Linked DNA regions of Ovis aries. The protein of the gene in region 2 purifies or fractionates together with the protein of the main gene of each other region. This does not show direct contact. Links are inferred from orthologs where the notes say so. Each region holds a gene or a part of one and is shown on either strand. Other genes may lie near its edges. The genes, in order: PIAS4, IKBKG and CNTN2.

Region 1 (3,743 bases), on a different chromosome or scaffold from region 2:
CTTTATCTTGACCCGCCTGCCCCTCAGATCTGTGTTTATAAACAGCGCCAGGCCCACAACAGCTTCCAGAGCCTCAGTTCTGGGCCCCTCAGGAGCCGCATGGAGAAACAGCGGCCTGGATACAACAGTCACACTCAACTGAACAGGGGCTCCTCACTGCAGGAACTCAGAACTCAGCGCATATGGCTACACACCCTCTAGGGGAGTGCCCAGTCCAACCCTTCCCCGCAACCCCTCTCAGGGGCCTCAGGTGAAGAGTCTCAGATTTCCAAGTGTATGAATAAGTCCCCCTTGCTCTCCTCTCAGATCAGCCCATTTTGCATCCATCCCAAAAGATAAGTCTCTGGTTATCACTATGAAAGGTTTAAGAAAGTGTCTCAAAGAGGGGGTTATTTCAATGACATGTAAAGCACTCCATGGGGACAGCAAGGTGCTGAAGAAGCAGGAAGGTTCCAGAGGATCAGAGAAGGCTGGGTGGCAGTTCTGAGACCCCCTAGGACAGAGGCTCATGGTTTAGAGAACTTGATAAAGGATCAATCTGATCTAATTGGGGAGGGGGCCCCAGTCATGGAAGGGTCAAGTAGAGTTCATCAGATCATATTTCAAGGCCCTAGATGGTATAATAGTTCAGACCCTACTCTCTGGCTGGAGTGGCAGGCCTGCATCTAGAGCCACAGGCCCACAGTGCCCTGAGGAAGTTAAATTTCAGGGCTCCAGGGGACTTCAGGCCATAGGATGCCACCTTGGGCTGGCAGGGTTCGGACCCCTGCATCTCTAGGGCAACTCTCAATTTCTCAAAACAGAGCGGTGGCCGCATGTGTGATGCAGGTATAGGTGGAGGGCACTCAGGGGTGAAGGGAGAGTAATACTGGATAATCACAGAACCATGAGGGCTGTATTTCAGATCCCCGTGGGAAGCAAAGGGAGACGGAGGGAGAGGGAGGAGCGAGAGAGAGAAAACATTTACAGGTCAGGACCCCTGGGAGGAAAGATCAGCGGGGGAGGGGGCGGGGCCTGTCTTGCTAGGTCCCTTCCCCACCTCCGAAAGATGAGCGGCCTTGAGTAAACTTCTCAGGCAAGAACCTAGCCTAGTCAGGGGCAAGGGTTCTGGAGCCTCACCTCACAGGGGCCTCTGACAGTAGATACTTCCCTGGGAGAGAGATGCACCCAGCTTAGTGCCAAGACGGTTAAAAGGGGCCTCAAGCTAGAAGGAGTAACATCCTTGGGATGTAGAATGTGGACCCCAGACAGCAATGCAGGGGAGACAGACTAGGAACCATTTTAAAGAACCTTGCAATCAACTGGGGACATTCCAAGGATCAACGTAAGAGACCCGCAGAAAGAGCAGGGCCTCAGACGCCAGAGCTGGGCTGTCTAAACAGATCTAAAGAGAGGCTGTGTGCGGAGTGTGGTCTGAGCAGTAGACTCGTGATGGCCTGAGTATAAGGGAAGCAGCTGGGGTTGGAAACGGGGTCTGATCCTCCGAGTGTGGAGTCTAGGGCTCCCAGGAGCAGAGTTCACAGCTGCACAAATGCTGTCGGGAGGAGAAAGAGTGAGAAGGAACGCAAAACCCAGGACCTGTGACTGAGAGAAAAGAGTTAGGAAGGAGCTGACACCAGGACCAAGGCTCCATCACACCGGGAAGGCAAGCTCAGGAAGGCAAGCTCAGTTAACACCGCGCTCACTCCGGGGTGAGAAGGGTGTCAGGAGGGGGCGGGGCTCTGGGACCAGAGCGGGAGCTGAATAAGGGCTCTAAACCCCAGCCTGGGGTACAGACCCTCAAGAGACACCCTGTGTTTGGGGGCGGTTCAGGATCCCCAGCTCATCACCCGTGGCAGAAAACTCAGAGGACCCTTCCGAGCAGAGAGCCGCCAAGCGCAGCCTGATCAGCTGGGCGAGGAGACTTGAGACCCAGATGCCAGCCCACTATACCATGGGAAGCGGTGAGAGGCGGACACTCCCCCAAGCCAAAGAGCGCCGACCTCGAGGAAGGGACGAGCAGCCCAACCCGTCACGCTGTCCGGGGGGAATGTGCCTCAAGCTGGAGGCGCGGCCCTGTGCCTGCGTTCAGCGCGATCTGGACCCTAGTCGCTAGGGTTGGAGAGGGGAGGACCCAACCTCACGCCTGGGGGGGCCGAACCCCCTGCTCGGAGACTGGGGTGAGGTTTTGGGGGCCCCGCCCCCGGCCTCCCGCGCCCCGCCCGCAACCGGAGCCCCCAGGCCAGGGACGGGCGAGGGGGCAGGACGCCGAGCCGCAGGCGGGCCGCGCCGTGGGGCCCCGAGCGGAAGGCACAGACCTCGGGCTGCCGCCCGACCCCCGTCCCCCGCCCGCCCTGGCCGGCGCCGCCGCCGCTCACTCACTTTGGCCTCCACCAGTTCCGCCGCCATCTTGGCCACCAGCGTCCCCCGCGCCGGGAGCCCCCAGCCGTCGCGTCACGTGATCGCCTTCCATTCGCGGGCGGGGCCCGCGCCGCGGCCAATTATCACCCTCGCGCCCTCCTCCCCTCTGGCGCGCGCGACCGCGCACTGCGCAAGCGCGCGCGGCACCGCCCGGGCCTCCGGCCAATCAGGGCTGCCCGACTACGCACCCACCCTCCCCGTTTCACTCACTGTGACCACGCCCACCCCTGGCCGTGTCTGGTTTCTTAAAGGGGTACAAGGCCGGCACAGGTTGGGGCGGATACTGGGTCCTGTCTGACGAGAGAGTAGACAGTTGAGGCGACAACAATGCAGCCAGGTGTCGCGGTCTCCTGCGCGAGGCAGCCTCCAGGTGCGTGACCGGACGCCTCGCTGCCAGGAGGGAGAAAATGGTTGGCCCGCGCAGCGGCCGCCACTGCGTGCAGTGAGGCGCCGTGGAGCGCAGCGCGGTTCATTCTCAGCGGGCCGGGAGCCCCACGCGCTGTACATCCGGGTCCTGGGGTGGCTGAGAGGGCGAGGGCGCCACACCCCCTTGGTGCGCCGCCGGCGGAGAAATGCTGTACCCCCTACCCAATTCCCGCGGTGCAGGTGACCACCCTCCCGCCCACTTCCGCCTCTCCACCCACGGTAAACCTTTGGAATTTGCGCTAATCGGAAATTTACCAGCTTTAGAGCTCTCCGTGGCTCCCCAGTGTCGGTGAGCTGCTAAGCCCAAACTTTCTTGTGTCAAAGAAAGCAAGAGGATAAAAACGTATTTCGGGGCCCATCCCTTGAGAAAATGAAGCGCGCCAAATGACTCAGTTATCAAGTTACTAATTTTTATATAAAAATGCAGAAATAGCCATGATGAAGAAAATAATAAAATTTAAGAGAGTATCAGTTCAGCCCTCAGTCGTGTCTGACTCTTTGCGACCCTATGAATCGCAGCACGCCAGGCCTCCCTGTCCATCACCAACTCTCTGTCGTCCCCTTTTCCTCCTGCCCCCAATCCCTCCCAGCATCAGGGTCTTTTCCAATGAGTCAACTCTTCGCATGAGGTGGCCAAACTACTGGAGTTTCAGCTTTAGCATCACTCCTTCCAAAGAACACCCAGGACTGATCTCCTTTAGAATAGACTGGTTGGATCGCCTTGCATTCCAAGGGACTCTCAAGAGTCTTCTCCAGCACCACAGTTCAAAAGCATCAATTCTTCGGCGCTCAGCTTTCTTCACAGTCCAACTCTGACATCCATACATGACCACAGGAAAAACCATAGCCTTGACTAGACGGACCTTTGTTGGCAAAGTAATGTCTCTGCTTTTTAATATGCTATAAGAGGTTATACA
Region 2 (3,743 bases):
AGTTGGTCCAAGAAATAGGTTGACAGAGAAAGTTACTCAGGATTATTTTTCCTCCTTCCCCCATCCCCATCCCAGCCTGTCCCAAGACATTCCAGCAGAGGGTCCCCAGCCTTAGTAAATTGCCTATGACCCTAGATCCTCAACTCCGATTAAACCACCTCAGTGAGAGCATCCAAGTGTGTTCTGTGGCCTGGGCCAAGTGTCTCCTCCTCTCTCAACCCCACAGTCTCCACTTGGCAATGGAAGTCTTTGGAGCACCAAGGGGCCCCAGGGTTCTGCTGAGCTGATTTGGTGACTCCTCCCTGCCTTCACGTGTGGTGGCCTTGGCATTGGGCAACATTGTTTCTTTGCAACCCGAGTAGTTCCCCTTTGCTCTTCTCTGTTCCAAGAGCAATCAGCAGAGGCTTCTAGGGCAGAAAGAGGAAGTGCCAGCTGCAGCCAGCAGGGCGGGGGGTGGGGGAGTACCAGGGCCTCTGAAGTAGAGCCTGTTTTTTCTGTTGTTTTGTTTCTCCCCTTCCTGCTGGGATATGTGGGAGGCAGGCAGGCGGCACAAACCTGTTACTCTGGGAGACCAAGGAGTTCACAGCACAGCAGGCACCTGCCCTGAGGCCCCCCCACCCCCCCACTGTGGGAGCCGTGCCTGGGGGCTGGGCCTGAAGGTGAGTGCATGTGACAGCAAACACTGCCAGGCCTTCACACCCCAGGCCTTGGGAGGCGCCAAGGTCCGCAGAGCCAGGGCCTCGGAGCGGAGCCTGCGACTCCAAAAAGGATGAGCTGTCTTCCGCCCCTCTCCTCCCTGCCGGCTTTGCCCAACCCCGCACCCACGCGCCCAGGTTCCGCCCCGTCCGAAGGCCAGCCTGAGGAGTTACCTGATGGCCTTGTAGCTGCAGCCGCTCCCTACTCCCTCCTCCAGACTCCCACCCTCAGTAGGAGGGCAGTGGACGTACTTACAGGACCTGGTCTGGAGGCCTCTGGAACCCAGGAACCCCGTTTCTCCTTCCAGACCAGTGTTGAGAGAGGAACCCTGGGCCTGCCAGGCTGGAGCCACTCTAACCCCCAATGGAAACAGAGCGATTGAGATGAGAGAAAGATCAGGCCGAGGAGCCCCCTCGGGCAGAAGTGGCTCAGTGCAGGTTCTGCAGGGCGGTCTTTGCCTTTGGGCCTCAGTTTCCCCATCTGGGCCATGGGCTCGATGAGTGCTCCAGGGCCCAGCCCAGAGACGGGGTCCTGCCAGGGCTGAGCTGGAGGACCCGGGCCCTCTCTCCTCAGGGGGTGCTTCTGGGCCGCCTCACCTCCTGGGGCGATAAGATTCCTGCTGTGTCACGGTGACTCTGGCGCTCCCCCAAAGGGCTGATGAGTCATGAGCCCCGCGGCCCAGGAGGGAGGCCAGGCAGATCTTGCCTCGAGGGGGATAGAGCCCACCCCTGCCCGGCCTCCCAACTTCTACTGTCACGTGCTCCACCCTAACACCCTTCGAGACCAAGGGCTCATCAAACTGGAGACTTGAGATAAGATCAGGGTGCTGGCAGGCCAGATGCAGGTGGCTGGAAATCTGCAGCAGGCCCTGCTCCTGCTGCTAAGTCACCACGTGGCCCCAGACTCCTCCAGACCCCACGAGCACTGTGCTCTCAGCCCATGTTACCTCCAGCAGTGCAACCAGGCCCAGGCTGCTGGGTAGGGGGGCCTCCTAGGCCTCTGTGCCCCCACCCCCGTCTGGGTCCTACCTCACTCCTCCCTTGGGTGAGTGACTCAGGCCGCTGGTGGCAGGGCTGAGCTGAACAAGGCGAGCAGGTTCCACCCCTTGCTAATCCCAAATGGACCGGTGAGGGCAGTCGGGTGTAGGGCACCGTGACTCAGCAGACAGGACACTAACCCACTGGAATTTGACCGGAAGCAAACATTCCTCTGGGCCAGGAGGTGCCCGCCGACAGGGGACTGATGGCTTCTCCTGCTGGAGCCCCGCAACAGGAGGGGTCAGCGGAAAGCGGGCACTGCTGGGCACTGGGAGGAGAGGGGCCACAGGGGTTGCAGCTGGGCTCCAGGGAGACCCCAGCCAGGGATCAGTGACTGACCTTGAGGCGCTGTTATCTCCAGGCTTCCCAGGGAAGGTGGCCGGCAGGAGGGGGCCCTGCTCCAGAGCCTTCAGCAATCAGTTCTAAGTGGCTGGCAGACAGGGGGCGGGGGCTGCAACACAGGGCACCCTGGTTTGGGAACCACCCACTGGAGCACTCCAGGTTCCGCTAGAGCCCGGAGGTGGCGGAGAGACACTGGCCCGTGTGGGCTGGGCACTAGCCAAGACCTGGGCCGGAGCAGACTTGTCCACGTGCAGATGTTGGCTCAGCCCAGGAGACAGAGGGTGAAGCCACAAATGGGGATTGAGCATGCTAGCCTCAAAAGTGGCCCCCATCGCCCCCAGCCAGGGGAGGACTCACCCACCTGGTAGCTCCCCAACTACCGTCCTCATGGCCCGTCTAGGGGTGCAGATTGCAATCGGTTCTGGTCCTGCGGCTCCTCTCTGCAACAGTCCACAGATGTGACTGCGTCCAGTGCTGACATGACTCTTAAAGGGTCATTTTGCCCTGAAGACTCAGGTCCTCACCCCTGGAGGTGATTTTCCTGCCCGGGGCGAGTCTAGCAGCTCTGCCCAGCAGCCCTCACTGATGACAGGGCAGGGGGCATAAAAGGGCACCTGCTCTTCACCCAGGCCATGCCCAGGCTCACCACCTCTTCCACCCAGAGTGGAGAATTCCTTTGTCAGGTCACCAAAAGCAAGCAGGTAGCCGTGGCTATGGCAGCTAAACCGGCCTGGAGAGAAGGGACTGGGTGACTTCGTGGGATGACAATGTTGTTGCTCACAGTTGCTGTCTTCACACACTTGCCATTATCTTGGAAAGTTTCACATGGTCAACAGCAAGCACCGCCCGCCGTCTGCTCAGTTGTTCTTTTCAGTCTTTTTATTTGTAGGCAACATTCGTACACATCGAAAGACATCTTCTCTGTCCAATCGGTTCTGACCTTTATAACCAGAGGCAACGTTTCCAACTCCCCAGCCAGTCCACCTCCTGCTGTGGACTCTCACTTCTGTCACTGTGGCTGCTTTGCCTTTTCTAAAGCTTCCCTTAAATGAACTCAGGGTGTTGAGCCTTGTGTGTCCAGCATTCTGGTTCTGAGAATTGCTTGTGTTGAGTAGGCCACTGGCTCATCCCTTTTTTCTTGGTTTGTAATCTTTGTTCTTGCCCCCTGCGTGGCTTGCAGGATCTTAGTTCCCCTACCAGGGATCAAACCCGCAAACCCCTGTGGTGGAGTCCTAACTACTGGACCACCAGGGAATCCCCCTGGCTCATCCCTTGGTGTTGCTGAGTAGGTGTCCCACTGTGTAGATATCCAGCTTGTCCATCCCCTGTTGATGGCCTTTCACTGTGTCCCAGCTCAGGGCTGTTGGGAATTATGGCTGCTGTGAACCCTGGTGCAAGTGTTTCCTCCACACCACCTCCAACACCAGATGGGGTTAGTTTTTTCAGATTACAACCTACTGGTGAAGGTCAAGCTGGATCTCATTGTGGTCTAATTTGTATTTTTGTGACAACTGGTCATCTTGACCACTTTCCTGTGTGTTAAGTAACCATTGATTTTTCTTGTTGTGAAGTATGTGGTCAAGCCTTTACCAATCTTGAATTCTTTTCTTGTTTTGTTGTAGAGTGGTTTTTTTTTCTTTTTGATTGACCTTTTTAACCACGTTCAAG
Region 3 (3,743 bases), on a different chromosome or scaffold from region 2:
AGTGGATGGGACCCGGGCAGGCATTCCAGCCTTGGAGGCTGAGCTACAGACCCTCCCTCCGTCCACACCTCCTTCTCCCTTTCCAGGCCCCTTCTCTGTCGACCCAGCCCCGTCCCAAGCCTCTGTGTCCCTCTCCACTCAAAGATACATGGAGCCACACTCCAGGCTTGACAGCTATGTCCCCTGAAAGCTCTGATGGCCACGCTCCAGGCTTGACAGGTATGCCCCCTGAAAGCTCTGACGTTGGCGTGGCCCCACCAGCTGCTTCAGCATCTGGACCGCTCACTGGTCTCATCTGTGTGAGCTAGACAGCAGGTGGACCGGGATGGGGACACAGTGACAGCCTGCCGGGCCGCGGCTGCCACAGACGGCTCGTCCCTCCTCCTCCAGGCCCCAGCCTCCCGGGGCACGCCTGCCACACGACAGGAGCAGAGAGCGGGAGACGCGCTGCTCACCAGTGAGCACCTAGAGTCTCAGAGCCGGCAGGGACCCTGGCCACCGTTAGCCCCTTCAGGTTATCAGTGAGGCTCAGGAAGATGACACACTCAGCCTAGAACACTCAGTTGAGCTAGTCGCAGGGCCCAGACTGCCTTGCAGAGACCCAGACTCAACCTAGTGGTCTTTTCATGACAACACACTGCGGGCTGGTTGAAAGTGTGAAAAGCGGCTCAAGGTCTACTATATAATTTTAAAATATTTTGTCAATCAATGATATATGAGGTGATCCATCTGCATAAAATAATACTAATAATCCATGTAATTATTTACAGGAAAATAATAAACCCGGAGGCATGTAATTTAAATCTGTTAAGGTACATTCACTATCTATGTTAAAATTTCCTCTACTGTTCGGTTATCTTGACCAAGAGCCCACCTTACTCTCATAAACGGGAAACAATAAAGACGATCGGAGGCAGCCCTCCACCCCACTCGGCCCGCACCTCATTTCTAATTTGCAGCCCTTCCTCTAAGAGTCGATTCCATGGAGTTTGCTGCCATGGATCTCGGGTTTGAGGACTAAGCTGCTCTCTAGTACTTCCTCAGCGCACCCTCTGCAGCCCTTCAGCTCGGCGCTGGGCAGGGAGGGCGGGGGCAGAGGCCAGGCGGCGCGGGGGCTGAGCCGCCCGAGCCCCACGGAAGACGCGCCCGGCCCTTAAACACGGGAAGCAAATGAGGTGAAGCAGGGCGGCTGGGGAAGGGAGGGGCCGGGGCGCGTCTCCAGGCTGAGCCCGCGCCAGCCAGTGAGCGGCGCCGGCGAGAGGGAGGAGCGCATCTCGGTGCAGAGATGCTGCAGTGAACCGGCGGCACACAGGCGCACACAGGCGCACACGCGCACACGCGCGCCCTCGCCCGCCGCTGCACCAGGTCGGCAGCGAGCGCTGGGGCTGAGGGAGCGGAGCGGAGGAGGGCGGCTCGGGCCGGCAGCCCGGCTGGCTCGGCTCCCCGGCGTGAGCGGCGTCCCCCTTCCCCGGCCAACACCCTCCTTGCATCCCAGGTAGGTGCCAGCCGCTTTTGTCTCCTCCAGCCCAGGGGCTTCCCGGGGCACCGCTGTGGGCAGGGGCTGGGCGCTCAGTTCCTTTGCGGGGAGCAGGGCACAGGGCCAGAGCAGAAACCCCAGCTGGCTGGCAGGGGCTGTCTGACTTCTCACCCCAGCCCCCCAGGGGCCGCGGAGACCGAGACCCCCTCCGCCCTGTCGACGTAGGTGGCACCCTGCAGGGCCCTGGCAGGCCAGGCCTGGCCGGCAAGCTGAACCCCAAGAGTGTGTCCAGGAGCTCAAGCCACAGGCTGGCAGCAGTGACTGCCCCCAGAGTGGGCAGAGGCCACAGCCCTGCCCTGTGCCCCTAGCCCAGGGCTTGACTGTCTGTGAGTGAGGCCAGGCCCCCGTGCCCTGGCCTGCCCTGTCCCTGGATGGGAGCAAACCTGACTGGCCGGACGTGAGGCCGCGCTGGCCTGCCTGTGCAGGGTGACCTCTTTATAAAGTCCTGCTTCTGTTAGACTGAGGGGGAGGCTGCAGGAGGTGAGGGGAGACTGGAGCGCAAGTTTAGGCAAAGGCCTGTCCAGGAGCCCGGACTTAGGGAGGAGAACCTGGGTCAAGTCACATCCCTTCTGCCCTGCCCACCCTCCTCGTCTCCTCGGGCCACCCCATCCTCGCCGGTGGCGGTGAAGGAGGTGCAGAAGTTTGACTTCCCAGCAGGGGAGGGGATGGGCCGGAAGGGAGAGAGCTGCCAAGTCGGGGGTCTTGAAAGAGAAGGCAGTCCTATGGGCCAGAGGCAGAGGGGGTTGCGCAGCCATCTCCTCCTCCAGGAGGGGTCCCCACGTCTGGGGAGTGGAAGGGGGTGAGCTGAGACAGCGCCTGTGGAAGGAGAGTGTTCGCGCCGCGCAGGGACAAAGCCACAGACGGGTGGGGGCTGAGCCTGAGTCCTAGGGGAGAAGCTGTCGGTCCAGGCTGTTTAGAGGTTGGGGAGCTGTGAGTGCCCATGACCCCTGCCCCGGAGAATCTGGGCTTGCTTGCCCCCAGGTTTCCTGCTCCTAACTTCCCCCTGCTTCACATCCAGCCTGCAGTGGGTCAGACTCCTCTCACCCTTGCCTTCCGGCCTGACCCCCAAAGCCCCAGCCTCCCTCCCCAGCCCAGCTGGCATCCTGTCCTTCTGCCTGGAGGGAGGCGAGAGGAGGAAGACTCCACGTTAGCCAGGGTGTCGCTGGTCTGATCACATTCCCGGCGGCCGTCTGGGACTCCTCTCCCAGCCTCCCGGCCAGAGAGCCCACCCGATGGGACCGAGGGCAGAGGGGGTGGGCCGGAGGTGGGGCAGAGACGTGCCCGACCCTGGCCTTGGGAGCAGGGAGGTCCATGCCCCACCCGGGGCCCACCACCTAACCCTCTCCAGCCAGGCTGCAGGTCCCCTCGAGGATGGCTTTCACCTGAGGTCAGAGTTCTCTCTCCTTCCTCATGAGATCTACCAGGAGCTCCCAGCCATCAGGAGGGGGCTGAGGTGAGACAGACATGGAGGGGCCGCTGTGCCCACGGCAGCAAAGTCCCCGATGCCCCCTCTCCTTCTGGGGCCCCCCTGAGTGGCGGGGGACGCAGAAGCACACTGCCCGAGCAGAGGGGCCCTGCTTATTCCCCTCTTACTCCCCACCCAGTGTCTACACCGGCAAGCTCTCTCCGCACGGTCCCTGCCGGTCAAATGCACGCCCCCACCCCACACCATCCCCCCCAGCCCCGGATTTCACTCCCTTATGCAACTCCGTTCCAACACCTTCTCTGCCAGAGCAGTTTAAATAGACGCGTGTGGGAAGGGCCTCTGAGGCAGTGCGCTCAGCAGGGTGGTCTCTGACTGGCTGACCAGACTCGCTCCTCAGGAGCAGTACTAAGAAGGAGGTGCCCGCAAAGTGTCTTCTTTGACTTGAAGACCATTGGGGAAGCCACGCCCTTTGAGAAGGCACAGTGCCCCCACCCTCAGAGATGTCCTCGGCCAAATGTTTGTGAGAAAGCTTGTCTCAGAAGCCTAAGGTCAGAACCACAGGGTTGATTCACAGGAAAAGAACTAGAGCAACAGATACGCCAATGAAGCAAGAGAGACTGAAGCTAGACTGCAGGAGCGACTTCCTCACCAGGACGATGAGCCATGAAGAGTTGGGGCAGCCTTCTTTCCCATGACTGTGTGAGGGGCGGGGACGTGGGGTCCGGGCCAAGCTGAGAGGCACTTCTGCCTGGAGTAGAAGTTGGGCTGGATGACCCTGTA

The links.
Region 1: the proteins of IKBKG (region 2) and PIAS4 purify together in Homo sapiens (affinity purification with western blotting; 5 studies listed by BioGRID, with this or other methods). This does not show direct contact. The link is inferred for Ovis aries from reciprocal best matches to the Homo sapiens genes IKBKG and PIAS4.
Region 3: the proteins of IKBKG (region 2) and CNTN2 purify together in Homo sapiens (affinity purification with western blotting, with the first as the bait; 3 studies listed by BioGRID). This does not show direct contact. The link is inferred for Ovis aries from reciprocal best matches to the Homo sapiens genes IKBKG and CNTN2.

What each region holds. Positions count from the first base shown.
Region 1 is NC_056058.1:17,802,734-17,806,476, forward strand, and holds the start of PIAS4 (E3 SUMO-protein ligase PIAS4), read right to left. Parts: upstream 2,414-3,743; 5' UTR 2,389-2,413; coding exon 2,362-2,388; intron 1-2,361.
Region 2 is NC_056080.1:79,920,990-79,924,732, forward strand, and holds the start of IKBKG (NF-kappa-B essential modulator), read right to left. Parts: upstream 2,166-3,743; 5' UTR 2,073-2,165; intron 1,757-2,072; exon of another isoform or gene 952-1,756; intron 1-951. UniProt on the Homo sapiens protein: Regulatory subunit of the IKK core complex which phosphorylates inhibitors of NF-kappa-B thus leading to the dissociation of the inhibitor/NF-kappa-B complex and ultimately the degradation of the inhibitor.
Region 3 is NC_056065.1:2,671,939-2,675,681, forward strand, and holds the start of CNTN2 (contactin-2), read left to right. Parts: upstream 1-1,340; 5' UTR 1,341-1,495; intron 1,496-3,743. UniProt on the Homo sapiens protein: In conjunction with another transmembrane protein, CNTNAP2, contributes to the organization of axonal domains at nodes of Ranvier by maintaining voltage-gated potassium channels at the juxtaparanodal region. May be involved in cell adhesion.